7 linked regions of the Oryctolagus cuniculus genome follow. The protein of the gene in region 1 purifies or fractionates together with the protein of each later gene. This does not show direct contact. Links are inferred from orthologs where the notes say so. Each region holds a gene or a part of one and is shown in the gene's direction. Other genes may lie near its edges. The genes, in order: CDKN1A, CKS1B, CDK6, CCNE1, CDK14, USP11 and cyclin-A2.

Region 1 (2,266 bases):
AGCCAGAGCTGCAGGCACAGAGGCGTCCTAACACCACGGTCTTCTCAGCGCCTTGGCCAGGTGCTGCCCAAGCATGTCCCCCACCTCTGAGACTGTTGCTGTCACCGGCCTCTTCCTAGAGAGGAGGAAAGGGGAGCGCAGAGACGCTAAGCCACTGGTCGGGGTCGCCCCGCGGAGCCTGCCCTCCAACCCAGCCCCTGTCACACCTGCTGCTGCTCGGCCTGCCTGGAGGGACTCCTGCCCCCACCCTGGCACTCTCTCAGCTTCCATAGACCAGGAAACGGAGGCCCAGAGACATGCAACGTCTACGTGGGAAGCCGTGGGGCTGGGATGACAGCCTGCGTGTTTTTACTCCAAAGCCCGGGGTTCACTTTTCCAGGCAGGAATGATGGGGGAGGTTGTGTTGGGAGGCTGGAGGAGCCCCTGCCTACGCCTCCCTCTGGGAACCGACTTCCTGGCCAGGACTATCACTGGGAAACTACTGGACTCTGGCAATTCACACCCCTGAGGGCCACCTCAGGGGAGGACAAATTGATTTTAGCTGATAACGCTGATGGCAAACAGGACCCTGCTCCCGGCCAGGCCATTGCAGTGAGGTCATGCTGTGGACATAAGCTCGCCCCGTGCTGCCCATGCCCCCATTGACGTCAGGGTGCCTGGCTGGCTGAGTTCTGCCCCCACCTGGGGTCTGTTGGGGGGTGGGGGTGGATGCCCCGCCCCAGCCAGGGTGCGGTAGAAAGTCCTTGTTGGGAACCGGGAAGCGTCCTCACCAAGGCCACCCTTCCACTGTCCCAGCCCTAGGCAGCATGTCGCAGCCGTCGGACGAGGCGCCACAGCCCCCGCACAGGAGCAAGGCTTGCCGCCGCCTCTTCGGGCCCGTGGACAGCGAGCAGCTGCGCCGAGACTGCGACGCACTCATGGCCGACTGCCTGCAGGAGGCCCGCGAACGCTGGAACTTCGACTTTGTCACTGAGACGCCGCTGGAGGGCAACTTCGCCTGGGAGCGCGTGCGGGGCCTGGGTCTGCCCAAGCTCTACCTGGCCCCGGGGCCCCGGGGTGGCAGGGAGGACCCGGCAGGGTGCAAGCGGCCGAGCACCTCAGCCGCCCTGCTGCCAGCGGCTCAGGAGGACCACGTGGACCTGTCGCTGACCTGCACCCTGGTACCTCGCTCCCCGGAACGGCCCGAGGAGTCCCCAGGCGGGCCTGGTACCTCTCAGGGCCGGAAACGGCGGCGGCAGACCAGCCTGACAGGTGAGGTCGGGTGTGGGGAGGGATGCTAGGGGGGACTGGGGCCCTCGGAACCCCCCCATGCGGGACCTGTCCTGTTTGCTTCAGCTTGTCCCCGAGAAGGGAAGCCGCCTAGGTGAGGCTGCACACAGGGCTGTAGCCAGCGTTTGTCCAGGGCGTATTTATTACCCGGCAGTCCTTGCTGAGCGACTGAAGACAATCTTGCTCCCCTTCCAAGGAGACGAGGCTCCGAGAGGGAGAGATTGGCCTGAGGTCGCGCAGGGCGTGTGCTGGGGAGAGGACACTGGCCGTAGCGCCATTCTGGCCTCTGCAAACTTTATTCCCTCCCCTCATCACACACGCGTCCCTCCCTCCCCCCACCTATCCGCCGTGTCCTCGTCGGCATTTTTCTACCCTGGATCCACTGTTCCTTCTGACCTTGACACGGGCCGTCTCTCCCACTAGCATATCAGCCCCACAAAAAAGGGATCTGGGCGTCTCTTGTTCATTGTGGAGTCCCCAGCCTGGAGAGCAGTGTCTGGTGGAGCAGGTGCTCCATGAAAGGTGAATGAGTGATGCTGGCATTTGGTCACCTATTACGCCGGGCCCTGGACCAAAGCCTTTAGAGAGACCATTGATTTCCTCCTTAGAGTGCACTCCCACGGAGAAGCCTCATTTGCAATTTATTACTTATTCATTCAAGAGACACAAAGAAAGCTTCCTTCTGCTGGTTCCCTCTCCAAATGTCCTCAGTAGCCTGGGTTGGGGCTGCAGGCAGGAGCTGGGAATTCAATCCAGGTCTCCCACATGGAACGCAGGAAACCGATTTCTTGGGCCATCAGCGGCTGCCCGGAATTCCAGAGTCGGCATTAGCAGGAAACTGGAGTCGGGAGTGAGAGCCGGAATAGAAGCCAGGCACCCTGGTGTGGGAGGCAGGCATCCTCCTTGCTGGGCTGGAGGCGCACTCCCACGCCTCGTTTTGTAGGTGAGGCAGCTGAGGCTGAGGGGTGCAGACGAGCGTCCTGTGGGCCATTTTCAG
Region 2 (4,165 bases), on another chromosome or scaffold:
ACTGGAAGTTCAGGTGATTGGGTGTTGGAGGGGGGAGCCCAGCAGGGAGGAGGCGGGAGGAGCGGGAAGGGGCAGGAAATGGCGAAAGCCTGAGGAATGTTTCCAGCAGGGAAGGCAGGACAAGTGGAGCCAGGAGGAATGCCCAGACAAGAATTTTGGCTGGGGGTGCGGGGGATGGAGCCAAACAAGTAGAGGCTGAGGAGTCCCTTAAAAGAAAAAAGAAAAAAAAACAGGATACAAATCCCTAACCCCATTGCAAACCACCGTTTTCTGGTAGTACAAAGTTCTCTCTCCTGTCACGTCCTCAAGCCACACATCAGCAAATCCACGGCCCTGTCTAGCCACAGCCTCAACCTACAGCTGTTTCTGCGGTGGGCTGGGAAACTATGAGCAAGCCTCTGTCCCGTCCTCGGGCCAAACCCCAAGCCCAGGCCCACCCTTGGGGGAGGATAAGGCTGCCTCTAATCTCACTCCTCAGAGCTCCCACCTAGTGGAGCGGGAAAGCCCTCGGGAAAACTGAGCCCAAGGCCCCAAGAGAGAAAGGACAGGAAACGTAAGCAGGTGGAGCTTCTGAGACTGAGGAAACTGGGGTGATGACTTGGGTGCCACCCGGATCGAGTTCCTTAGGGGGCGTGGCCCTCTAGGATGCGCAGCAGACTTCCAGGAGATGAGGCTCCGGGACAATCGGACGTGGATTGCGGAAGGGGCGGGGCTTCTATGGGCGGGGCCTATCGAGGGGCGTGGCCTCAGTGAATTCGAATCGTTCTTTCAAGAGCAGAGCTTTGCCCTTTTGGGAGATAGGATCTTTGACAGACAGGAGTTAGCGGAGAATCGTCGCGAGGAGGAGGCGGAGTTTGGAAGAACTGGGAGGACTAACGAAGCGTTTCTTGTGGAGCTGGAAGCATGTCTGGGGGTGGGACTTCCAGGAAAACTGGGCTACAGGGAGGGGTCGGAGACAATAAATTTAAAAACTGGGGTTCAGGGAGCCCCCTGAAGTTGGGAGGTGGGACTTCCGGAGAGGGGGTCTCAGGGGCGGGACTTAGCAGTGAAGACCGGAAGTGGGGTCCCGGGAGAGGGGTTCCGGGGTGGAGGAGTGGGTTGCCTAAAGAGAAAAAAAAAAGTGAAAACTCACCAGGGCCTCATGGGGTCTCCGCACCGCGCCGCGGGCCGATTTGGTTCCGGATCACGCCACTGCCTGCTTAGGTCGCCGCTCCAACTTTCTCCCCGGCCCGGCCTCCCTGGAGAAACTTTATTACACTCACTTCCGGCCTCACTAACCCCTGACCCTCTACCTCACGGTCCCTCCTTCGCCCCGCCTAGTTTCCTGAATCAGCCAATGGTAGCGCGAAGGCGCTCACAGGCGCCGCGATAACCAATTAGAGGCCTAGCTCTGACCCAAGTTTGTGCTTGAGAAACGTAAGAAGCGCACTCCAATAAAGACTGGAGGAGAAGCAAATCCTAAGCCAATAGGAGGCTCGAAGGTGGAGCTGTCCCGCCTTGAGCCCAAAGGACCAATGGGAAGTGCGGGCGGTGTGTTTGAAAGCGAGGCCAAAGAGGGTGGGAGCGCGTGCTGCTGGGAGTTGTTTGGAGGTTGGCAGCGCGGGGCTGACGGCCCGCAGGCAGAGCGATCATGTCGCACAAACAGATTTACTATTCGGACAAGTACGACGACGAGGAGTTCGAGTACCGGTTAGTGCCGGCGGGGGGCCGTAGCGAGGTCGGGAGAAGAGAAGGCACGAGGAGTTGGTAGCGAGGATGGAGGCGACAGAGGGGGCGCATGCGCAGGAGACCAGCGGGGGTGGGTGTGAGGTTGGTGGAACGCGGAAGGCGCGTGCGCGGGGGGTGGCCGGCGCCCTGGAACAGTGGAGTCTGGAGTCAGCCCCCGGTTGAGGGGAGGCGTGATGAGTCCGACCACCTTCACCCTGTGGGTTTCTGGGTCTTGGTCTCAGCTTCACTGGGAGCTGCTGTGGAGTCTACTGGGTGAAGGTGTCAGCAGCGGAGCTGGCCTTTTCCTCGCGTTCTCACTGCGAGCGGTGAGAATGCTGAGGAAGTTAATGCTGCTTATTCTTGGGGAAGGAAAGAGGCGTGGTTGTCTGGCTTGTTTTAGGACGGGGGCGTCGAGGACCGGGCCGGGGATTAAAGTGCCGAGAAGCACTGAGAACCAGTGGAGTGCGTGCAGGTTTCACTTGTTTACTGGATGTGAGCATCTCACGGTCTTTAAAATTCTGAGCAAGAATCTGGCAGACGGCTGGAAGAAGGTGGTGGGCCTGCGGAGCCCGGGCCGTGAGCGGGGCGTGGTGGGGACACACAGCCTGGCAAGGAAGGGGCGGGGGCTCCCTGGAAGAGCCCTCAGGTGACACTGTAGCAACGAAGGGAAAAGTACAGCTTGACCAGAATTGTCCCGGAGGTACTGGATGGCCAGATGCCCAAGATGGGGGAGCGTTTGGGTTTGATAAGTTCTGAGCCCATAGGAATATTAGATTGGAAAAGGAGGAAAGACAGAATTCTACAAGTGTTGTCGTCACACTAATCTGTATCAATTGCAATATTTAAGACGGCTTGCGGCTTTTATCTTGCCTCCTGGAATGGAGGGGGAAATGGAAGCTTGGTTTTCTCGTGCCTTCCCTCAGCCCGGTTCGGGCTGTGTTTACAGACACATAACCAGCTTCAGGCTGGGATCATCCTAGATCCTTCTCAGACTCCATTCCTTTTATTTCCCTCAGCTGTTTTCCTCTACATCCGAACTAAGCGAACTCCAACTGTATGCTTATGACGTGTTTGCAGGGCTGGGAGACATCACTAGTTTCGTCCCTGGGAAGATGTAACTGTTAGTTTGGCAGTGGCGTTTTGGTTTAAGAGAGGGGTTTGTTTTGTTTTGTTTTAATGTACTGAGGCCAGATTTTGTGCCAGGGGCTGGTTAGAATGTCAGCTATTTTCAGACATTTAGACTAGAATTATCTCTTTAGGAAAAAAACCTCTGATAATTAGTGCTGAGGGAGCATTTAGGACATTTTTGTTGCGTGTGATGAAGTGTATCTGAATGAGTCCAGTTCCAGTCAGAGGAGTCATTTCTTTGCCATGGAGACTCATCCTTGGTCAGAGAATCAAGTCTCATGGCATGCCCCTTCAGAGTTAGGAAAATGAGATTCAAGATTTTTGAAAGAAGACTAACAGTTCACCTCTGTGATGTGTCTTCCACACCCCACTTTATCGATGTTAACATTTCATGCTCTTTGTAGGGCCTGTTACATTGTGGGTAATTACTAGAAAACCCTAAGATCCACAAAGGCACAGAAAATGAACATCAACAGTGCCTGGCACTCAGTCACTGGAAGTACTCATTCGCACTCTTTAATATACCCTTGCGAGGAGCCTTGTTGTGGCATAACGGGTTAAGGCGCTACCTACAATGCCATACGGGCACCAGTTCAAGTTCTGGCTGCTCCACTTCCAATCCAGCTCCCTGCTAGTGTGTCTGGGAAAGCAGCAGAGGATGGTCCAAGTCCCTGGGCCCCCGTACCTACATGGGAGACCCAGATGAATTTCCTGGCTTCTGGCTTCAGCCTGGCCCAGCTCTGCCTGTTTTGGCCTTTTGGGGAATAAACCAGCAGACAGAAAATATCTAACTTTGCATTTCAAATAAATAAAATTTAAAACTATATATATAGTCTTGTGAGAATTTTTATAACTTGGCCTATATTTTCAGCTGCCTCTACCCCACAATAAGATTGTATAAACTCAAAGGCCGACACTGTGGCGTAGCGGGTAAAGCCACTGCCTGCAGTGCCAGCATCCCATATGAGTGCCGGTTTGAGGCCTGGCTGCTCCACTTCTGATCCAGCTCTCTGCTGTGACTTGGGAAAGCAGTGGAAGATGACCCAAGTCCTTGGGCTCCTGCATCCATGTGGGAGACCTGGAAGAAGCTCCTGGCTTCAAGATTGGCACAGCTCTGGCCATTGCGGCCATCTGGAGAGTGAACCAGTGGATAGAAGAACTCTCTCTCTCTCTCTCTGCCTCTGCCTCTCTGTAACTCTGCCTTTCAAATAAATAAATCTTTAAAAAAAAAAAAAAAAAAAAGATTGTATAAACTCCAGAAGCCAGTTTCTCTTTTTCCTTTCTTGGCTTTATATACAGGCACTTGTCCAACAGGCTGTATCCAGTACTA
Region 3 (3,990 bases), on another chromosome or scaffold:
TCCCGGGAGCCGGGGGGCCACGGCGCCGCGGACGGCCTCGCGGGTTGGGGAAAGGGTGGCGAGGGCAGGCTCCGGGGGGCGCAGCCCCTTCCCCCTCGGCCCGGGAGGCGCAGCGTCGACGCCCCCCGCCCCCACCACCCTCTGGGGAGGTAGCGTTCGGCTCAGGTTGACCTGGGCTGGAAACTTCGGGGCGAGTCGGCGGTCCTGGTGTCTTCCTCCCCGCGCTGAGTCCCGGAGGCGGACGCCCCTCGCCCCCACCCTCGGCATCCCACGTGGGGCTGCCCCTTCCAGGGCCTCCGGCTCGCCCACCCCGGCGCAGCCCAGCCCGCCCCGACCAGATGGCTGATTCTCCCGGGGTTTCCACCAGGGAGGTCCCTCGGAGTCGGAGGCAGGATTGCGTTCCCGGCCGAGGCGCCTCGGCCCCCGGCGAGACCACGTACGTGTGCGCCGCGTCTTTAAAGGTCTCCCCCTTAGAAAAACTGAAAGTAGAAAAAGAAAGGAAGCAATTTCCGAGCAGATGCGTGACGACCCCTTCTCGCACCCTGCCCGGCCGCGGGCTCCGGGGTCCCGGGAGCCCCCACCCGCGTCCAGGCCCCCGGGCGGCGCGGCGCGCGAGGGATCCGCGCGGAGCCGTGACATTGACGCGCCCGGCGCCTCCCCTCCCCCGCGCTCCCGGCACACTCCGGGCCGCTCGGCACGCCCCCTCCCGTTGCCCTGCGTCCCGCGCGGCGCGCTCATCCCCGAGGGGCCCCTGCAGCCTCGCCGCGCGCAGACGGCTGCAGCCCTGCGGGGAGAGAAAGTGACCTCGCTTTGCTCGGGAGGAGCCAGGCAGGCTTGGGCGGCGCGGGAGAGGGCCGGGCGCGCGTGGGGGCGCCGTGGAGGAGGGGAGGCTGCAGGAACCCCGAGGAAGGCTCCCGGGCGGTCTGACTTGTCGTCCTCTCTCCTGTCCCCCGTTTCAGTCGCAAAGACCCCGGACCGAGACGCGCTCGGGTGGAGACTATGTGATCGCCTCGGTGTCGGTGCGGAGGACTTCGCTTCGGGGAGGGAAGAGGAGGGCTCGGCTCGCTCCCCGGCGGCTCGGCAGGCGGAGTTTCGCCGCGGCGGCACCAGGGTTGCGCCAGCCCGCGCCGGAGCCGGCGGGGCCGAGGAGAGCGGGACCGAGCTCCGGGGAGCCGCGGCGTGCAGGCGGCATGGAGAAGGACGGCCTGAGCCGCGCCGACCAGCAGTACGAGTGCGTGGCGGAGATCGGGGAGGGCGCCTACGGGAAGGTGTTCAAGGCCCGCGACCTCAAGAACGGAGGCCGGTTCGTAGCGCTGAAGCGCGTGCGGGTGCAGACGGGCGAGGAAGGCATGCCGCTCTCCACCATCCGCGAGGTGGCGGTGCTGAGGCACCTGGAGACCTTCGAGCACCCCAACGTGGTCAGGTGAGCCCTGGGGTCCGCGCCGTCGGGGGCCCGGGGAGGTGCGGGCTTCGCCGGCGCCGTGCCGCCGGTGTTTTCTCCCCGACCGCCCCGAGGGCCTTGCGGGGGAGGCCTTGGGGGCAGAACCAACAGACCTGAGACCACTGCTGCTTGCGTTTCCCGGCTTCGGGGGATCTTTCTTTCTTTCTTTCTTTCTTTCTTTCTTTCTTTCTTTCTTTCTTTCTTTCTTTCTTTCTTTCTCTTTCTCTCTCTCTCTCTCTCTCTCTCTCTCTCTCTCTCTTTCTTTCTTGCGACTGCAAAGGAGAGGGAGCAGGTTGTCCGTGTGATAAGCGAGGAGAAAACTTCTAGGGTGGAGCCTTGCACAAATGAGGTCTTTAAAAATGCAGAAACGGATAAGAATATGTTTGCTAATCACACCCAGTTTCTCTGTATTAAAGTTGCACAATGAGAATGGCTTACTGATGATCCGGGGAGTCGCCCAGTGGCAGACAGCATCGTCCCAGAGCTGTCATCCTTCTTGTCCGTGCCACTTCTCTCTGGGCTGGCATAGCCCCTGGACCACCGCTGCCAAGGGATGGGTGTCCAAGGTGTGGTGGCTTTAGATTCTCAGTGCTCTTTGTCCTTGCTTTTCCTGGGTGACTGGCAGGAGTGGGGTACGCAGTCAGTCCCTGAAGTCTCTGCTGTGCTGTGACCGGTATTAAAGATATTAAATGAAACTGTGTGTGTGTGTGTGAGTGAGACTTAGGGGAATGGTGGGTTCTTGGTGATCCTGGAATCGCCCCTTTGCGCAGTTGACTGTGTGTGCGTTTGTGTCATCTTGTTTTTAAACAGAGGAGCTGCATGGCTTCAGGTCACAAAGGCATGCACGGAGGCAGAGCGGGTTGTGGACTCCTCACGCGTTGGGAGAAGGAGGTCCCAGACCCTCCTTCCGCGAGGCATTGTGCTCAACACTTACGTGCCTGCTGCGTGCGCTGCGGATGAAGTGATGTAAATAAGCATGGCTAAATATTTTTGTGAAAAGTCAAACAGTTTAACATTACTCATCAAAACGGAGCGACCCGAGAATGACCTGAAATACCAAACCCTGGACAGGCTCAGGGAGACCGGGTGCCTGCAGTCTCCGTGGGAGGTTCTGACCTGCCTCTTCTTACCCTAGGCTGGGTGATTGGTGTAGTGTTTTGTTCCCAAGACAGTGAAGACTCAGGCTGGAAGGCAGCAGAGAATCATAAATACATAAATAAGGTAGTAAATGACTGTAAAGATAGGACTCCATTATACCTCTCCATCAGCTTGTCAAGGGTGGAGGTCGAAGATAAAGAGACTGGGAGAGTGTTTTGGGAGGTGGGCTTACATATTAAAGCGACAGGTTACCTTTTCTCCGTGTTTTTGAAAAAACTAAACAAACAAACAAACAAAAAAACAAAATACCCCTGGAGGGTGTGTTTGTTGGTATCAGAGTGGGCGTAGAGGGGACAGTTAGCTCCCTCTAACTTAGTACTTTCCCTAGGGTGTCGCCTAAGCCCTTCCAAAGGGTGACTTCACCAGTAGAATTTTGAGACCAAGATTTCTGGTTTTGTCCCATCCCAGGCAGCTGCCACATCTGACCTTCCAGCATGGGGGTGTTACAGAGGCACGCTGGTGGTACTACCACTGTTGTTAACGAGGCAGGACTCGCTCTCCTGACGGAGGAGAGCTCGCGCCCCGTGCTGCCGCGCTGGGGCCCCTCCGTCCCACCCGCGGGGTGAAACCTGCTGAGGCTGGTGTGTCTTCAGAGATCTCTCACTGAGCCACAACTGAGATTCTGCACTGCAAATGTCAGGAGGATTTACTTAACGAATCAGAAGACACCTTTTTCTAAGACTGTCTTTGCCTGTTGAGCGGTGCGGTGCCACCCACCCCTTGGAGTTGGTAGTTGGTGAGGGTCAAGTGAGACGCCATGTGTGAAAACACTTTGTGCATCTAGAAGCACTTCAGGTGTCTACACATTGTGTTCCTGAAGATTAGTGGGACGCGCTTGCCCAGAACAGGTTCCCAGCAGGCATCAGTGCACCTGGCCTTTTTATTTTTTTTTCCAAGAACAAATCATATTCATACCCTTAGATTACAGGCTTCGGAGCCACAGGGGCTACTTGAGTACAGTGAGCCTGTAGTTTGTCCACAAAGGCTGTCAGTCATATGCCATGAAGCTCAGTGACACTTGAGGAAATTATTGATGATGTCACCCTCACGAGCTACAGATCTCTCTTCCTGTTTCATTTCCTTCCTGTTTCTTCTTCCACCGCTGCCTTGGGACGACCACTGGCTCCCATGATCGCCACACTGAGCACACTGAGCAGTAACGGATTTCAGAGGTGGCTACTCTGTTCAGGCAGAGTCAGGAAATCAAGGACAGGTGACGGCAGTTCTTCTCTGCGGAGAGGGAGAGAGAGAGTTGTCAGTTTGACCCCAAGCCTGTGATTTGTTGCTGCCCCCAGGATCAGCTTTACAGGCTGATGCTTGGTTCTTTAAATGTTTCTTAAAAGGGCAGATGCCATTATAAGTGCCTCCAAGTCATAAGTAATTGATCGTAA
Region 4 (4,045 bases), on another chromosome or scaffold:
CCAGTAGAGATATGTCTCTCTCTGCCTCTTTTTCCACTCTTTCAAATGGATAAAATTTTTAAAGTGTGTTTCATACACCTAATCTGCCGAACATCACAGCTTCTCCATGCATTCATAAATACAACTTGGGTGTCCCCCTTCTTCCAGGCACTACACCAAGGGCTGGGGGTCCCCGCAGCGAGTAGGGCTGAGGCAGGTGCCCTCAGTGACCCGAGGACTCCGAGGCAGAGGCAGAGGCAGGGGCAGGGGCAGGGGCAGGGGCAGGCGCAGGGGCAGGGGCAGGGGCAGGGGCAGGGGCAGAGGCAGAGGCGGGCTCAGAGCTGAGGGGCAGGTTCCAAAGCCCTGAGGTGAGAACGGGCAGAAGGCACATAGGGGAGCTGTGAGGGGCCATGTTGGAGCCAGACTTGGAGCCAGAGGGCGAGGGAGCTCCTCTGAGCCTCAGATGGGTGGCAAGCACCCGGAAGGTTTTAACTGAGAGATGGTTGCACAGGAAGCCCCGGGTCAAGGAGGCCTTCTGCCGCTCTGGCTTCTGGGGCAGGGCCCAGATGGAAGACCGTACATGGAAGGTGCTGGAATGAGTGGAACGAAGGAAAGAACAAATGCACTGGCAGACGGACACACACAGAGGGCACCAGACGCGGCTCCCAACGGCCCAGGTTCTAGGCCCAGGCCCCGGGCGCTGTGACCTTGGGGACATCCCCGCCCTGACACGCAGGGCCCGGAACCCGGCGTCTCAGGGGCGGGGAAGACGTGCCAGGCGGGACGGTGCGCGCGCGGCAGCGGCGGCGGCGCGCGGCAGCCCCGGGGACAGCGGGTGCTGTGGGCCGCACGCTCTCCCGCATCGGCCACGCCAGACGCGCTGGGCCCGAACCCGGCCGCTCGCCGTGTTTACATTCCACCCGCGCCCGCCACGCGGCTTGCTGCCACTCCGGCGCCGCTCGGCCCCGCCCCTCCGCGGCGCTCGCGCCAGACTTCTCCCGCGTTGCGCCCGGCGCGGCCCCGCCCTTCTCCGCGCGCGCCGGCCCGCTCTCCCGCGTCCCGCCCCGCGCAGGCCCCGCCACGGCCCTCTGGCTCCGCCCACCACGTCCCGCGTCCTGTCCGTCTGGCGCGCAGGCCCTGTCACTTGGCCCCGCCCCTCGCGGCATCTGCGCGAGGCCCCGCCCCGCGGCCCGCCCCCGGCGGTAGCCCCGCCCCCGCGGCCCGTGCACCTCGCTGGCCGGCGCGGCGGCGGAGGCGGTTCTGAGGGCAGCCGCTGGGCGGGCCCGCGCCCTTGGGCTGGCTCTGAGGGGCTCGGAGCCGGGACGGGGCGGGGCGGAGGCTGCGGGGAGGCGCGAGGGCGGGCCGGGGCCGGTTCCGCGCGCAGGGATTTTTAAATGTCCCGCTCTAAGCCGGGCGCAGGAGCAGCCGGCTCGGCCGCCAGCGCGGTGTAGGGGGCAGGCGCGGATCCCGCCACCGCCGCGCGCTCGGCCCGCCGCCGCCTCCCGGCTTTCCGCTCGCCTGCCGCTTCCAGCCTCCTGGCTCCTGCCCCGGCTCGTGCGCCGCTGTCTGCCGCCGGGACGGCTTCGGGTAAGCGCCCCGCCGCGGGCTGCTGGGACGGGCGCCGCGGGGCGACTTCGCGAGCGCCCGACCCGGGCCGGGGTGGGGGTGGGGGTGGGAGTGGGGGTGGGGCGGGTCGCCGGGTCCCGGGGGCATCAGCGCGGGGTGCCCTGGGGCAGGGTGGCCCGGAGATGGGGTAGGGAGAGGTGTTGAGGGGAGGCTGAGGCAGCCCCGGCCCCTAGGGAGGTGATGGGTTGGCGGGGGGGGGGGTCTCGGGATATCCAGGGCCTTCCCCATCCCGGGCTCGGACCCGGGATCGCAGGCTGCGGGCGGCGCGGCGGGTGACAGGCCACCCCGGGCCCATCGGCCATTTTCCCGGCCGGCCCGGGAGGCTCCCGCCGCCGCCGCCACCCGCGCGGGAGGGGGAGGGGTGCCCGGGGCCAGCCCTTAGGCTCTGGCCCCCGCGGCCTGCGGCGCTCACCTCGCTGCCCACTTGGTGCCCCCAGGCCCGAGGTGCTAGCTGGAGCCCCGCGCCATGCCCAGGGAGAGGAAAGAGAGGTGAGTGGCCCGGCCGCAGTGGGACAGGGAGGGTGTGCGGCGGTGGGGGAGGGGCGGCCGGGGTCGGGGGAGGGCTCACCCCTGCCTCGGTGCCACCCTGGCTCTGCAGGGATGCGAAGGAACGGGGCACCATGAAAGACGACGGCGGCAGCGACTTCTCTGTCCGGTCCAGGAAAAGGAAGGCAAATGTGGCCGTTGTGAGTACAAAGGAGACAGGTTGGGGAGAAGTCCTAACCCCTCCATCTTACCTGGGTACCAGGCTGGGGTTTGCCTCGGATTTGCTGCAGGGGGTTGAGGGTGTGGGTGGGCTCTTTGGGGCAGAAACGGTGCTCACACTCTAATCGACTATCCCCCCTTTTCTCTGTGTGTTTTTGTCTTTGGGTTGTTTGGTGTGCGTCCTTGGGGGGTGGGGGTGGTTCTGTGTTAGTTTTTGCAGGATCCAGATGAGGAAATTGCCAAGATTGACAGGACTGTGAGAGGCCAGTGCGGCAGTCAGGTAGGTGTGCTGGAGGCTTGGGCCTGCCTGGAGGGCCTCCCACCGACCCTGAGTCCAGAGGCCTTCCCAGGTCTCCTCTCCTGCTGAGGACCCTGGCTTAGAGTTCTTCCCTGTCCGCACCCACAGTGTGCCCGAGCATGCGCTGGTCTTGGGATTCCTGGCTGGTCCTCTCTGAGGGCGCATGGTGTGCCGGGAAGACCCAGAGTGGACCTGGAGTCCTCTCTGTCCTCTCCTGTGGCCCAGGAGGAAGCGGAGTCCTGTGTGGGGGCAGCGTTGGGCCCACCACCTATTCCCCACAGCCAGTGAATTCTGTGTGTGTGAGCAGCCACCGCTCCTCTGTTCACACCTGTGGCTTATGGTCATGGTGCTTTAGGACTTCTCCCATCCCCTTTAGGTCAGGTTACAAACTGCTTCCCTTTCTGGCCCCAGAAATTCTCGCAGCCCATCTAGCGAGGACCTACATGGATCCGTGCTGCCCGGGCCTTGCCCTGGCTACAGCAGGAGTGTGATGTGTGTGTCTCAACGCTTTCCTTATTGACGACTGCATTTGTCTTTCCCCTCCTCAGGGAGTTCCTGCCAACTTCCCTGCATGCAGCGTGATATCGTTGTAATATCAGAAGTTCCGTGCAGAAAGAGCTTGCATTATCTCTTTACCTCCAGAAATGGCTGGAGACTGTAGTTACGGCCCCAGTGTGGGAAGGAGCCTATCTCCAAGCTAGCTGGTCAGGCCTTCTGACTCTGCCACTGATAAAAGCTGAGCGGGACGCGCTTTGACCTGAGCACACTGCCCCAGCTAGTTTAGCAGTGGGCAGCACCTCGCTTTGTTGAGATCAGGAGCCATGCGCCTGGTTTCAGGCATGAAGGGCTTCGAAGGGTGGGCCACGTTGTTGCAATGGCATTTGTCACTGTGCTAAGACTCCACTAAGCACTTCTGGGGAGGACCCAATGACTATTGAAAAGGGGTGGATTTCCTTGTCTGTTGGAAATACTTAACTCTAGCAAAGGAAACAAGACAGCACATCCCCAAATATTCTCCTTTTTTCCCCCATTTAAAAAAAAATAAACTTTTAATCAAGCAGGTTGATTTTGTGGGTGTTGTAAAATGAATCTGTACTTGGTGAAATTCAAGGTAAACCCCAGGGGTGTTTTGAAGAGAAGACAAATTTGCAAGTGAAGATGAAGCAGAGCCATCCATGCTGAGTTCTTGGAGTTTTGTTAGAGCTGTGTCTGTTCTCAAGGATAACCTGAGCAGCCCTGGGGCGCCCGAGACAGGGCTGGCTCTGCCCTGGATGTTAGGGAGGTGATACCTGCGACACAGGGATAACCAGGCCATCTCCATGAGAAGGCGGGTTCATGGTTGTGCATGCTCATGTTAGCAGGTTTCTGCACATTTTATGGAGAAGACAGCTTGAAAATTATCCATGTGTCTTTGGTATTTGGAGTTTGGGGTTACAA
Region 5 (4,225 bases), on another chromosome or scaffold:
CAGGGGGCTAGTTTTTGTCTTCAGATAAAAATCTCTGAACTCCCCCAAACTTCCTTTAAACCAAACAGCATTGTCCCACCCGCACAAGGCCTTATCACACAGCCGGATGACTCCAGATCACTAACATTTCTATTCTTAAGGACTTTGCTGGCCTCAAATCAACGCCCTCCGGCCCCACCCCTCTTCCTTCGCGCTCCCCAGGGCACCGGCGTTCGCAGCTCGCGCCACACCACGACTGCGTGGGCTTGCCGCCGGAACTGTTTGTCCTGGGATTTTATAAACCTCCCCCGTCGGGTCGGTTCATTCTTTTGAGGTTTTGGGAAACGGAGGTCAGGATCGTTTTCAGCCGGCAGGTCTTCCAACTCGGAAACACACTGTCCGAGTGAGGTGTCTGCAGGCCGAGGGCCGCTGTTCTCTGCACCGACGAGCCAGGCGTTCTAGCCTGAAACCCCTGCACCTGCAACCAGTGGGGAGGGGCACCGCACGACCCCCTGCCTGCGGGGGGTTAGCGTGGAAGCTTCCGTGTCCGCGCTCGACCTCCACAAAAGACGGGCCCACTTTTCCCTCTGGGGCGCGCACTTCACAACGTCGTCGGCATAAAAGGGCAATAATAATAACGGTCACCGCTAAACCTCCCTGCGGCCTCCCCCGCGCACCGCCCGCGCGCGTCGGAGCCAAGGAGACCACCGCGCCAGCGAGCAGCTCCCTCACACCCTGAGGCGCGGTCCGGGACGCGGCCCTCGGCGTCGCGGTCCCCGAGCCCCCGGGAGGGGCGGCCGGCCGGCCGGCCGGGTGGGGGCGCCGCCGGGGCGCGAGCCGGCCCGCGAGGGCCGCGGGGGCCGCGGGCTCGCAGCGCGGTCGCGCCGGGGTCCCGCGCCCCGGGGGCCTCCGCGGCGGGGTGGGCGGGGCGGCGGCGAGGGGGCGGTTCCGCGCCGCCGGCTCTTCCTGCCTGGCGCCCGCAACTCGGGGCTGAGAACTTGTGCCCGCACCCGCAGCGCCCCGCGGCTCCCGCACCGCGAACGGGCCCGCCCCCGCCTCCGCCTCCTCAGCCTCCGACTGCGGCCGCGCCGCCCCCCCTGCCGGCCGCCGGCCGCGCTTCGCCCGCTTTACAAAGGAGGGAAAAATGAGCCGGGCGGCGGCGGCGGCGCGGCGCGGGGCCACCTCAGCGGCGGCGAGCGCGGCCGCCCCCGGCACCACGTAAAACACCCCCGCCCGCCCGCCCGTCAGCCCCGCCGCGGCCCAGGCCCGAGCAGAGCCTGCCCGGCCGCTCGCCTCCCGAGCCCTGCGCGTCGCCGCCGGCCGGGGAGGAGGCGGTGAGGAGGACGAGCCGGAGGCGCCGCCTTCCCGCGCCGCGCGCCCTCGCCGTTGTCTGCGCTCCGCTCTGGACCAGTTTGAGGGAAGTTGCCCGGGCCCCGCGTCGTCCAGATGTGCGACCTCATTGAGCCGCAGCCGGCCGAAAAGATCGGCAAGATGAAGAAGTTGCGGAGAACTTTGTCGGAGAGTTTCAGCCGCATCGGTGAGTGGCCAGCGCCCCCCGCCCCCCACCCCGGTCCCGCTCCCCTCGGCCTCGCGCCCCGACGCCCCAGCCGGGCAGCTGCCGCCCGGGCAGGGCTGGCGGGAGGCGGCGACCCGGGCGACGGCGCAGGCGGGAGGGGAGACCCCTGCGCCCCCTGACCTGGCTCCTGCGTGGATGGCTTCAGACCCGGGGTTGGGGGCGTCCTCCCCATCCCGTGTGCTCGCTCCTGGCGCCCGCGGGCGCGGGCGAGGGGGCTCCGCCGCCCCGCAGCGCGCCGGGGTCTCGGGCTAATTGTCGCGCTGCGGGCTTCGGTGTCGGGTGCGGAGGCTAGAGATTCCGCTTTGGAAATTGGCGGAAGGCTGGGCCGTGCCCTGGTGCTGTTTAACCTAGCGACGCACAGGGAAGTGGGAGAGACACCTGGAGACCTTTTGTTCGGCACTTGCTGTCCTAGAAAGCGAGGTTTGGCGGTGCCAGTGCCGAGGTCCCCTGATCGCCCCGCAGCTGGAGGAAAAGGCGCGCCGGGAAGTTCTCCGGACGCCTAGGAATTGAGGCTCCCGGTTCGGTCTGATTCCTGGAGCCGGGGGCTATTGTCTTGTAACCGACTAACAAAAAGCCCCAGAGGAGGGTTTGGGATGGTTAGAACCGTGTCAGGCCGTGCATGACGGGGTGACAGCGGTGTCACGTGGAACGTGTGAACTCGATTTTGACTTTTGGCACAGAAACCCCCTTTTAGCTGCAGATCGTAGCTGCCTCCCCAGCTGTCATAACTTTTCACCGATGCAGGTACCTGCTCTCGGCGAGCAGAGAAACGACCCCCGGGGTCCCTAGGAATCCTTTGGCCTTTGTCTCACGTTAATGAAGTGAAGCAGAAAGGTGCTAATTCTTAGAGTGAAAACCTGGGGCGAACAGGAGTGCTGCCGTCATCCGTCCACTCACTCGTTGTAACATATGCAAACTTTGTTCAAGTGAGAGAAAACGGGGGTCAAGATTGAGTCAACATTTGTCCCCCCCCCCCCCCTTTGGTTGTCTTCTGACTTCAGGTTTCCCAAGATGACTGTAACGTTATGCTGCAAAACCAAAATTGGCCCGGGTTTAATTCACTGTGTGTATGCGTTTGCAGTCTCATCCGTCATAGTTAGGGATGCTCAGGGAGCAGTCCCTACATTCAGATGAAGTTTGGAGTTAGGGAAGTGTGAGACTCTGAGGTGTTGAGTCCTGTGCGTGATTAACCGGAGTGTCTCAGCCCCCACCCAGACCATCACAGAGTCCATTAAGCTCTGTTCTAACACACACGAACTGTATTTACTAATGCTAATGACTGTGTTGGAGGCCCTCCAGTTTTATGTTAAATAATTCATCCCAATCGAGTCTCAGTAAGAAACTAAGGACATTAGTATAAAAATTCCTTATGTTTAAATAATTTCAAGGTTTTGATTGACAATCAGTAAAATTTGGATTAACTGCAGTGCTGGCAAATGGGGGTATTACAGTTAATTGGATTTTCTAGCTTACTGAGATTTAGTGATGTGAAACTCTTTTTGAGTCCAGCTCTTGTTAAAAATGTCTTAAGATCTAGTGGATTTTATATGCTCCCTTCAGGAAACAGTTTGGTGCAGTGAACATGACTGATTATTTCTTAGAGTGATGGAGGGTCGTGATTCTGAATAGCGGGTCTCACTGTGGAATGCTCTAAGAGGAGATACTGGAATTGTAAGTGATTAGAGTTGTATCCCAAGGTCAGCATACTTGTTAGAAATAGCATCACAGAAAAATAAAACTTATGTACTTATTTTCTTTTCTTTTTGCAACACCAAAAGTGATGCATTCATTCTCATTGATTAAGGACCTTCGAGGTACTGGAGGCTGTTGAGTTGAGGATGATGCTGGTGTTATGGGATTGCATGAGTTAGGAATGTAAGCTGTGTGTTAGATGGACTGGATAGTCCCCATGTTGCCACTCCTAGCTGAGTGACCTTGGACAGGTCCCCTTACTTCCCTGAGTTTCACTTTTTCCGTATGTAGCTAAGTGTTGTGGTTGGTACTTGGTGAAACAATACATAATAAAGACTCAGATGTTCTCGCTGTGTTATTGTTAGTTTCATCAGTGATTGTATTGTGCCGACATTGCCCGGCTCACAGAAGAAGGTGAGAGAAGGGGGACACAGTGGTCACTGACTTTGTGGGACAGCCAGCCCTCAAACAGGATGGGCTTGAAGTTTGGAGGCAAGCCTGGGCTTGAACCTCTTTTTCCCTGCTTACCTTGAGCAACCGGTAGTGTTTCCTTCAACTCCAGAGTCCTCCTCTGTGAGTATTCATTTAGTTGTTGTGAAGTTGGAGTTGGATAGAAAGATAGCATATCGAATGCAGTATTTGTCACAAGGTGAAGATCAATTTAGAAGCTGTTGTCATTCCTTCTGGTTTCTGCTTATCCTTTCTACGTGGGTACTTAATGGGGAGTTCAGAGAAAATGGCTTATTCCTGTTGAATAATCCAGCATTGCAATGTAGTCGTTTCATTTAACCAGTCTAAGATGGCTTTTGAAACAAATGTGCTGACTTGACTTTTCTTTTCTAGTGTGATTCAGAACTGTAGCTTGTTATATAGTGACATGTACATTATCTTTGTTTATCTATAAGAAATTACTAAAACATTCATCTATAGAAAATGAGGATAATGTTAAAAAATGGATGATAACCAATGGGTGTTTAT
Region 6 (3,500 bases), on another chromosome or scaffold:
TGGACACGCGGCTTTGGGTCAAGAACTCAGAAGGCACTCTAGATCGCCTGTGTGACCCACACGTCACAGTGCTGGACGCTGCCCTAGAGTCTGGGCAGGTAAGAGTAGGGAGGACTTTTCTGCTCAGGTAGGCTGGGGGGAAGAGAGGAGGAAGTGCCCACCAGGCCCTCCATGAATGCCTCTGCATCCCTTCTTTCTCCTTTTCCAACCCAGCTGATTATTATGGAGACCCGAAACAGAGATGGCACTTGGCCCAGCGCGCAGCTGCATGTCATGTAAGCCTTTGGGTGGTTGGTCCACAGTGGGGGTGGCCCACAGTCAGCCAAGTGATTGCACCCATGTGCCCCTCGTCCCCATACGTAGTAGGCCTTCCGCTGACACGTTTCTCATCCAACTCAGGAGCATAGCGGAAGAAGATGAGGACTTCCAGGGCCAGCCGGGCATCTGTGGTCTTACCAATCTGGGCAACACGTGCTTCATGAACTCAGCCCTACAGGTTTGGCCATTACAACCATTTCTGGCACTGCCACAGGGTGGGTGGCAAGACCTGGGGACAGAGTAGGGGGCTGGGGCAAGGGCTCAGGTTGGAAGCTCAGGCCTCACAAGCCTGCGTCAGCATGCCCGTATGCACCCCTGAAACACCAATCCCTTCGCTCTCTGCTTGTCCCTTGCTTTCTCTAGCCTCCCCTCTACCCCCTCCCACCACTTCCTCCTCGGGCAATACTAATATCTTCTTTTTCCCGATTTCCCTTTCTCTTCCCTCTTTCTTTCCTTTTCCCTGTCCACACCTTGGCCACCTCCTCTCTCTCCTGGCCCTGCCGCCCCTGCAGTGCCTCAGCAACGTGCCACAGCTCACTGAGTACTTCCTCAACAACCGCTACCTGGAGGAGCTCAACTTCCGCAACCCGCTGGGCATGAAGGGGGAGCTCGCAGAGGCCTACGCAGACCTGGTGAAGCAGGCGTGGTCGGGCCACCACCGCTCCATCGTGCCGCACGTGTTCAAGGTGCGGCGCTACCCTGGGGCGCCCTCACCCCGCCGCCGCCCCTCCTGCCTCTGCTGACTCCCTCCGTCTCATCTCACACTCTCTCTGCCCTGCCCACCTTAGAACAAAGTCGGCCATTTTGCCTCCCAGTTTCTGGGCTACCAGCAGCACGACTCGCAGGAGCTGCTGTCATTCCTCCTGGATGGGCTGCATGAGGACCTCAACCGGGTCAAGAAGAAGGAGTACGTGGAGCTGTGCGACGCTGCTGGGCGGCCAGATCAGGTGGGTGCTCCTCAGTCCCACGGAAGCCCCCACGGCCTCTGCCTCGGGAGTTCTCTGGCCTGCCGCCGAGTACCCAGCATCCCCCTGTTTGCTGTTAAGTTCCTTTACCCTGGACGTCCACTCCAGCCTCAGTCTCGGCCCGTAGCTCCAGCACCATATCTGCCTCTGCACCTGCTCAGAGTTGTCCCCAACCCAAGCTCCTGCCCCAAATAAACTCCAGCCCTCGGAGCGAGCAGTAGATGTGCTTAGTTGTAACTGTGCTGCCGGCCCTCAGCAGCAGCCTCCCCTTTAACCCTGTACAAATCCACCCGAAACCATGATTCTGCCCTGCCCTGGGCGAGCCCCTCCTCCCGCCACACGCACACCATCATGACCCTGTCAACAGGAGGTGGCTCAGGAGGCCTGGCAGAACCACAAGCGGCGGAACGACTCTGTGATCGTGGACACGTTCCACGGCCTCTTCAAGTCCACTCTGGTGTGCCCTGATTGTGGCAATGTGTCTGTGACCTTTGACCCGTTCTGCTACCTCAGTGTCCCACTTCCTGTCAGCCACAAGAGGGTCATGGAGGTCTTCTTCATCCCTATGGATCCCCGGCGCAAGCCCGAGCAGGTATGGGGAGACGCAGGGAAGGACAGGTGGTCAGGAGCGTGGCACTGTGCCCTACCTTAAGGTTCGCTGTGTCAGCTCACCACAGACCCTTTTGATCTTTTGTGGATACTCTTTGTCCCCTCAGCACCGCGTTGTGGTCCCCAAGAAAGGCAACATCTCAGATCTGTGCGTGGCTCTGTCCAAACACACCGGTATTGCACCAGATAGGGTGAGACTGCAGAAGGAGGCCCCACGGGGGTGGGATTCAGAGGGTGGGGAGGCAGAAGGGCCAGGGGACACCTTGCGGGCTGACCAGTGTCCCCCTATCCTGTTCTCAGATGATGGTGGCCGATGTCTTCAGCCACCGCTTCTATAAGCTCTACCAGCTGGAGGACTCTCTGAGCACCATCTTGGACCGGGATGACATCTTTGTGTGAGTGAGGGGCCCAGGGGGAGACGCTGGTTCCTTGGGAAGCTGGTCTGCTGCTTTGTAGTGGCTCTACCTTCACCACCTGCCCTCTTCCTTCCTCGGCCTCCCTCGCCGGGCACCCTGCGTAGACCTTTGGCCATGTGCTGTGGCAGGGCCGGGGCGTGTGTGTGCTGTCAGCGAGGCGAGTGTTGAGGGACACAGCTTTAATACAGGGTGTCTGTGGGTGTTTTCTTCCTCATTATGGGAGGGAAGCCGCTGTTCCTTTCTTTCACTGAGCACTCACGGGGCTCCTTCTGTGCCTTCTGAGCTGAGTTCCTTACTCTGTTGAAGTCTTCAGAACAAAAAGGGGGTTTTGAAATACAGAACACTAAGATGATTTTTGAACACAGGAGCATTTGGAACAACTTTTAAATCTGTTTCAGTTTTTGAGTAAAAACTAAACATGCTTTGTGAGCAGAAAAGTTCTTTGTAAGCCAAGCAATGGTTTTTTGTGTGTGTGTTTTTATTTATTTGTGTATTTGAAAGGTGAGTGGCAGAGAGAGAGGGAGAGAGGGAGGGAGGGAGGGATGCAGATTGGTCTTCCAAATGCTGGTTCACTCCCCAAATGGTCTAAACAGCCAGGGGCTGGGCCAGGCAGAAGTCAGGAGCCTGCAACTCCATTTAGGACCCCCTGGTTGGTGGCAGGGGCTCAGGCCTCTTCTGCTGCTTTCCCAGGCACATTTGCAGGGTGCTGGATCGGAAGTGGAGCAGCTGTAATTTGAACCAGTGCTCTAACAGGAGATGCCATTGTTGCAAGCAGCCACTTAACTCACTGCACCACAGTGTTGGCCCTGAAAAAGTGTTTTTTTTTTTTTTTTAATATTTATTTACTTATTTATTTATTTAATTTGAAAGGCAGAGTTAGGGTTCGGGGGTGGATCATCCGTCTGCTGGCTCACTCCCCAATAGCTGCAGCGGCCAGGGCTGGCCATGCTGAAGCCAGGAGCCTGGAGCTTCTTCCAGGTCTCCCATGTAGGTGCAGAGGCCCAAGCACTTGGGCCATCGTCTGCTGCTTTTACAGGTGCATTAGCAGGGTGCTGAATCAGTAGAGCAGCCGCGTGCTCCAACATGGGATACCAGCATTGGAAGCCATGGCTTAACTCACTGCACTACAGTGCTGATCCTGGAAAAGTGTTTTTTTAATAGATGATTTTTAAATTCCTTTGTCACTAAAAGT
Region 7 (3,901 bases), on another chromosome or scaffold:
TATGACATGGAGATTTTGAGGTGCCCCTCTCCTTCCCTGCTGGATGGATGTCCGAGAAGACCAAATACAGAGTTACGACTTCAGCTAATCTTAAAAGTAACAAGGCAAACCATCCCCTGAAAGTGTCAGAGAAGCCACATGGGGATCAGTAATGAGGCAATTCTTCCACATCCAGCCTGAGTAGTATTAGTAGGTACATAGTGGAGAGTCTTGTCTTCTACTACTGCCCCACACTTATAAAGAGTACCCCTTCCCCAGTGTCAATGGAGGCCAAGCTGCTGATAATAAGATGATGTCCTTTCCCCATTGGAGTAGCGTCATAGGATCCTGCCATATCAAATATTTAAATGAGATCAAATGTCTCACAATATTAATCACTAATATATCAAGAATTTAATTTTAATAATCACTTATGTTAAAAGGAAAACTAGGCTATTCTCAATTAGAGTGAGAAAACATGATCTAAAGATGTTGACACTCAGGGTTGTCTAACAAGGATTTTGTAGACTCTACAATAAAAATACTTCCACAATAATCATGAATATACTTGGAACAAATATAAAAAACATAAAGTTTTAGCCAAAGAAAAGAATATATAAAGAAGAAAATATATTTTGAAATAAAATATTCAATAACTAATATTTTGAAAACTCCATGAATGGGCTCAACAGTGGAATGGGAGAGAAAGAGGAAGCAATAGTGAATTGGATTTTTTTTTGCCCTCCGCGCCCGGCAGCGTTTGCCTGCGCCTCTCGCAACCTCCTCGATCCTGCGCGTTCCGGAGACAGGGGAGCGAGCGGGAGGGCTGGCAGACTGGCCCGGGCTGCGGCGAGGGGCTACGGCTGGAGCGTTCCTGGGCGGGATCGGCGCCGCTGGTCGACTGGGCGGAGTGTGCACGCTGCTTGGCTCGGCAGACTGATCCCGCCGCCAGCTCCCTGGAGCAACGATGTTGGGCCACAACGTGCCGAAGCCCGCGGCCGGCGAGGCGGGCTCGGCGCTCCTAGAGGACCAGGAGAACATCAACCCCGAGAAGGCGGTGCACGCCCAGCAGCCGCGGGCCCAGGCTGCTCTGGTGGTACTGAAGGCTGGGAACTCCCGGGGTCCAGTTCCACAACAGAGGCCCACGACGCGACGGGTTGCACCTCTTAAGGATCTTCCTATAAATGATGAGCAGGTCTCTGTTCCTCCTTGGAAAGCAAACAGTAAACAGCCTGCATTCACCATTCATGTGGATGAAGCAGAAGAGGAGCCTCCCAAGAGGCCCACGGAATCTAAAAAAGACAAGCCTGAAGATGTCCTGGCTTTTAATTCAGCCATCACTTTACCTGGACAAAGAAAACCACTGGTACCTCTTGATTAGCCAATGGATGGTAGTTTCGAGTCACCATATACTATGGACATGTCAATTGTATTAGAAGATGAAAAGCCAGTGAGTGTTAATGAAGTCCCAGACTACCATGAGGATATTCACACATATCTTAGGGAAATGGAGGTTAAATGTAAACCTAAAGTGGGTTACATGAAGAAACAGCCTGACATCACTAACAGTATGAGGGCTATCCTCGTGGACTGGTTAGTTGAAGTAGGAGAGGAATATAAACTACAGAATGAGACTCTGCATTTGGCGGTGAACTACATCGATAGGTTTCTTTCTTCAATGTCTGTGTTGAGAGGAAAGCTTCAGCTTGTGGGCACTGCTGCTATGCTGCTAGCCTCAAAATTTGAAGAAATATACCCACCAGAAGTAGCAGAGTTTGTATACATTACAGATGATACCTATACAAAGAAACAAGTTCTGAGAATGGAGCATCTAGTTTTGAAAGTCCTTGCTTTTGACTTAGCTGCACCAACGGTAAATCAGTTTCTTACCCAATACTTTCTACATCAGCAGCCTGCAAACTGCAAAGTCGAAAGTTTAGCAATGTTTTTGGGAGAATTAAGTTTGATAGATGCTGACCCATACCTAAAGTATCTGCCATCAGTTATTGCTGGAGCAGCATTTCATTTAGCACTCTACACAGTCACGGGACAAAGCTGGCCTGAATCATTAGTACGAAAGACTGGATACACTCTGGAGACTCTTAAGCCTTGTCTCATGGACCTTCACCAGACCTACCTCAAAGCACCACAGCATGCACAACAATCAATAAGAGAAAAGTACAAAAATTCAAAGTATCATGGTGTTTCCCTCCTCAACCCACCAGAGACACTAAATGTCTAACAGTGAAAGACTGCATTTGTTTCTAAGATGTAAATCACTCAAAGTATATTGTGTACAGTTTTTATCTTGGGTTTTGAATGTTACAATCATTTCTGAATACAGAAGTTATGGACAAGAACAAATTATGGTATCTATTACTTTTTAAATGGTTTTAATTTGTATATCTTTTGTACATGTATCTATCATAGATATTTGGCTAATTTTAAGTGGTTTTGTTAAAAGTATTAATGATGCCAGCTGTCAGGATATTAAGAATTAATAAATTGATTTGGAAAATTTTATAAGTCAAATTTAATTTGAGATAAAAACCTGACTTCAAGATTTCTTAGAAAAGTTACCTGGCTTATACAGTACAGTGGGGAGTGGAAAGCCACTCTCTAAAAAGTTGACTTTAGGAAAACAGACCCTCAATGTTCTAATATCCATTTTCCTAAGCAACTGGATCAGTCTGCCGATTTCTGCACAATAAATCTGTGCTTATTTACCAGTACGATGAAAATCATTCTTCTTTGTACACACACAGCAGCCTATCAGATTATTTTATTCCTCATCAATTTTTACACTTTACACATACACAGGTTGGGGAATAAGGCTTTGAGATGACAAAATTTTCAGAGAAAAAGCTCTAGAACATTCACTTTAATGTTAAAAAAATAAAACTTAGGGATTTGTGAATAAATGATACCCAGGTTGTTAGCACTGAATAAATACATCTAATAGTTATATATACAAATATACAACTATGTTAGCTTTAATTAGCAGCTCTCTTCTTTTTTCTCTTTTTCATTGGCTTTTTACTTGGTGCTTTTTCTTGTTTCCCAATGGTGGTCTGTGTTCTGCGGATAAAGTAAAATAAATTAACAGTTCACTTAATTATGCTTAAGTTTTGGATCACTGAAATAGGAGGTCTTTTATTTTTTTGCACTAGGGTACAAAATGTGACAGCAGGAAAAGTAAATACAGTAACCCTGAAAGGTATCCAAAAATAGTTTAATAGAGAGTTAGGTGCTAATTTTTATTAATTACAGGGTGAAAAAAACACATAATAGCTGATGAAAAAGGGATGTCTGTGTATAACAGTTCTGTAAGATGAGAGTCAAACCAGAGAGCAAGCCTCAAACTCTTAAGTTACATGTACATGTTTGAAATAAACCAAAAACTTGTTACCTTAAAAAAAAAATAGTGAATTGGAAAACAAATCAATAGAAAAATTACCTACATGGAACTAGCATTGTGGCACAACATATTAAGCGACAACTTACAATGCTAGCATCTCATATCAAAGTGTAGGTTCAAGTTCCAGCTGCTGTTCTTCCAATCCAGCTCCCTGTTAATGTTCCTAGGAATGCAGTGGATGATGACCCAAGGACTTAGGTACCTGCCACCCATTGGAAAACATGATGAATTCCTGGCTCCTGGCTTTGCCCTAGCCCAACTCTGAATATTTTGACCATTTGATGAATAAACTAGTGGATGAAAGATCCCTATATATATTTCTTGCTCTTGCTGTGTGTGTGGGTGTGTGTGTGTGTGTAGATCTGAGAGAGAGAGAGACACAGAGAGAGGGAGACTCACTCTCTCTGTCACTCTGCCAATAGAATAAATAAATGAATAAATATTTTAGGAAAAAAAAGAACCAATTTTAACAAAAATATAAAAGAAAAAATAATAGGAAAATTT

Evidence for each region.
Region 2: the proteins of CDKN1A (region 1) and CKS1B purify together in Homo sapiens (affinity purification with mass spectrometry; 3 studies listed by BioGRID and IntAct, counting the BioPlex papers as one, with this or other methods). This does not show direct contact. The link is inferred for Oryctolagus cuniculus from reciprocal best matches to the Homo sapiens genes CDKN1A and CKS1B.
Region 3: the proteins of CDKN1A (region 1) and CDK6 purify together in Homo sapiens (affinity purification with western blotting; 6 studies listed by BioGRID and IntAct, counting the BioPlex papers as one, with this or other methods). This does not show direct contact. The link is inferred for Oryctolagus cuniculus from reciprocal best matches to the Homo sapiens genes CDKN1A and CDK6.
Region 4: the proteins of CDKN1A (region 1) and CCNE1 purify together in Homo sapiens (affinity purification with western blotting; 19 studies listed by BioGRID and IntAct, with this or other methods). This does not show direct contact. The link is inferred for Oryctolagus cuniculus from reciprocal best matches to the Homo sapiens genes CDKN1A and CCNE1.
Region 5: the proteins of CDKN1A (region 1) and CDK14 purify together in Homo sapiens (affinity purification with mass spectrometry; 3 studies listed by BioGRID and IntAct, counting the BioPlex papers as one, with this or other methods). This does not show direct contact. The link is inferred for Oryctolagus cuniculus from reciprocal best matches to the Homo sapiens genes CDKN1A and CDK14.
Region 6: the proteins of CDKN1A (region 1) and USP11 purify together in Homo sapiens (affinity purification with western blotting; 4 studies listed by BioGRID, with this or other methods). This does not show direct contact. The link is inferred for Oryctolagus cuniculus from reciprocal best matches to the Homo sapiens genes CDKN1A and USP11.
Region 7: the proteins of CDKN1A (region 1) and cyclin-A2 purify together in Homo sapiens (affinity purification with western blotting; 11 studies listed by BioGRID and IntAct, counting the BioPlex papers as one, with this or other methods). This does not show direct contact. The link is inferred for Oryctolagus cuniculus from reciprocal best matches to the Homo sapiens genes CDKN1A and CCNA2.

The regions. Positions count from the first base shown.
Region 1 is NC_091436.1:132,894,521-132,896,786, reverse strand, and holds part of CDKN1A (cyclin-dependent kinase inhibitor 1), read left to right. Parts: intron 1-795; 5' UTR 796-806; coding exon 807-1,251; intron 1,252-2,266. UniProt on the Homo sapiens protein: Plays an important role in controlling cell cycle progression and DNA damage-induced G2 arrest. Involved in p53/TP53 mediated inhibition of cellular proliferation in response to DNA damage.
Region 2 is NC_091438.1:43,534,876-43,539,040, reverse strand, and holds the start of CKS1B (cyclin-dependent kinases regulatory subunit 1), read left to right. Parts: upstream 1-1,365; 5' UTR 1,366-1,630; coding exon 1,631-1,689; intron 1,690-4,165.
Region 3 is NC_091447.1:42,948,090-42,952,079, forward strand, and holds the start of CDK6 (cyclin-dependent kinase 6), read left to right. Parts: upstream 1-1,190; coding exon 1,191-1,423; intron 1,424-3,469; exon of another isoform or gene 3,470-3,829; intron 3,830-3,990. UniProt on the Homo sapiens protein: Serine/threonine-protein kinase involved in the control of the cell cycle and differentiation; promotes G1/S transition. Phosphorylates pRB/RB1 and NPM1.
Region 4 is NC_091449.1:26,436,176-26,440,220, reverse strand, and holds the start of CCNE1 (G1/S-specific cyclin-E1), read left to right. Parts: upstream 1-1,245; 5' UTR 1,246-1,566; intron 1,567-1,651; exon of another isoform or gene 1,652-1,732; intron 1,733-2,042; 5' UTR 2,043-2,071; coding exon 2,072-2,094; intron 2,095-2,203; coding exon 2,204-2,291; intron 2,292-2,521; coding exon 2,522-2,590; intron 2,591-4,045. UniProt on the Homo sapiens protein: Essential for the control of the cell cycle at the G1/S (start) transition.
Region 5 is NC_091447.1:45,005,334-45,009,558, reverse strand, and holds the start of CDK14 (cyclin-dependent kinase 14), read left to right. Parts: upstream 1-1,425; coding exon 1,426-1,516; intron 1,517-4,225. UniProt on the Homo sapiens protein: Serine/threonine-protein kinase involved in the control of the eukaryotic cell cycle, whose activity is controlled by an associated cyclin.
Region 6 is NC_091453.1:32,773,003-32,776,502, forward strand, and holds part of USP11 (ubiquitin carboxyl-terminal hydrolase 11), read left to right. Parts: coding exon 1-98; intron 99-213; coding exon 214-275; intron 276-399; coding exon 400-496; intron 497-830; coding exon 831-1,004; intron 1,005-1,106; coding exon 1,107-1,265; intron 1,266-1,650; coding exon 1,651-1,875; intron 1,876-1,999; coding exon 2,000-2,083; intron 2,084-2,192; coding exon 2,193-2,287; intron 2,288-3,500.
Region 7 is NC_091435.1:65,355,125-65,359,025, reverse strand, and holds cyclin-A2, read left to right. Parts: upstream 1-1,363; coding exon 1,364-2,221; 3' UTR 2,222-3,401; downstream 3,402-3,901. UniProt on the Homo sapiens protein: Cyclin which controls both the G1/S and the G2/M transition phases of the cell cycle. Functions through the formation of specific serine/threonine protein kinase holoenzyme complexes with the cyclin-dependent protein kinases CDK1 or CDK2.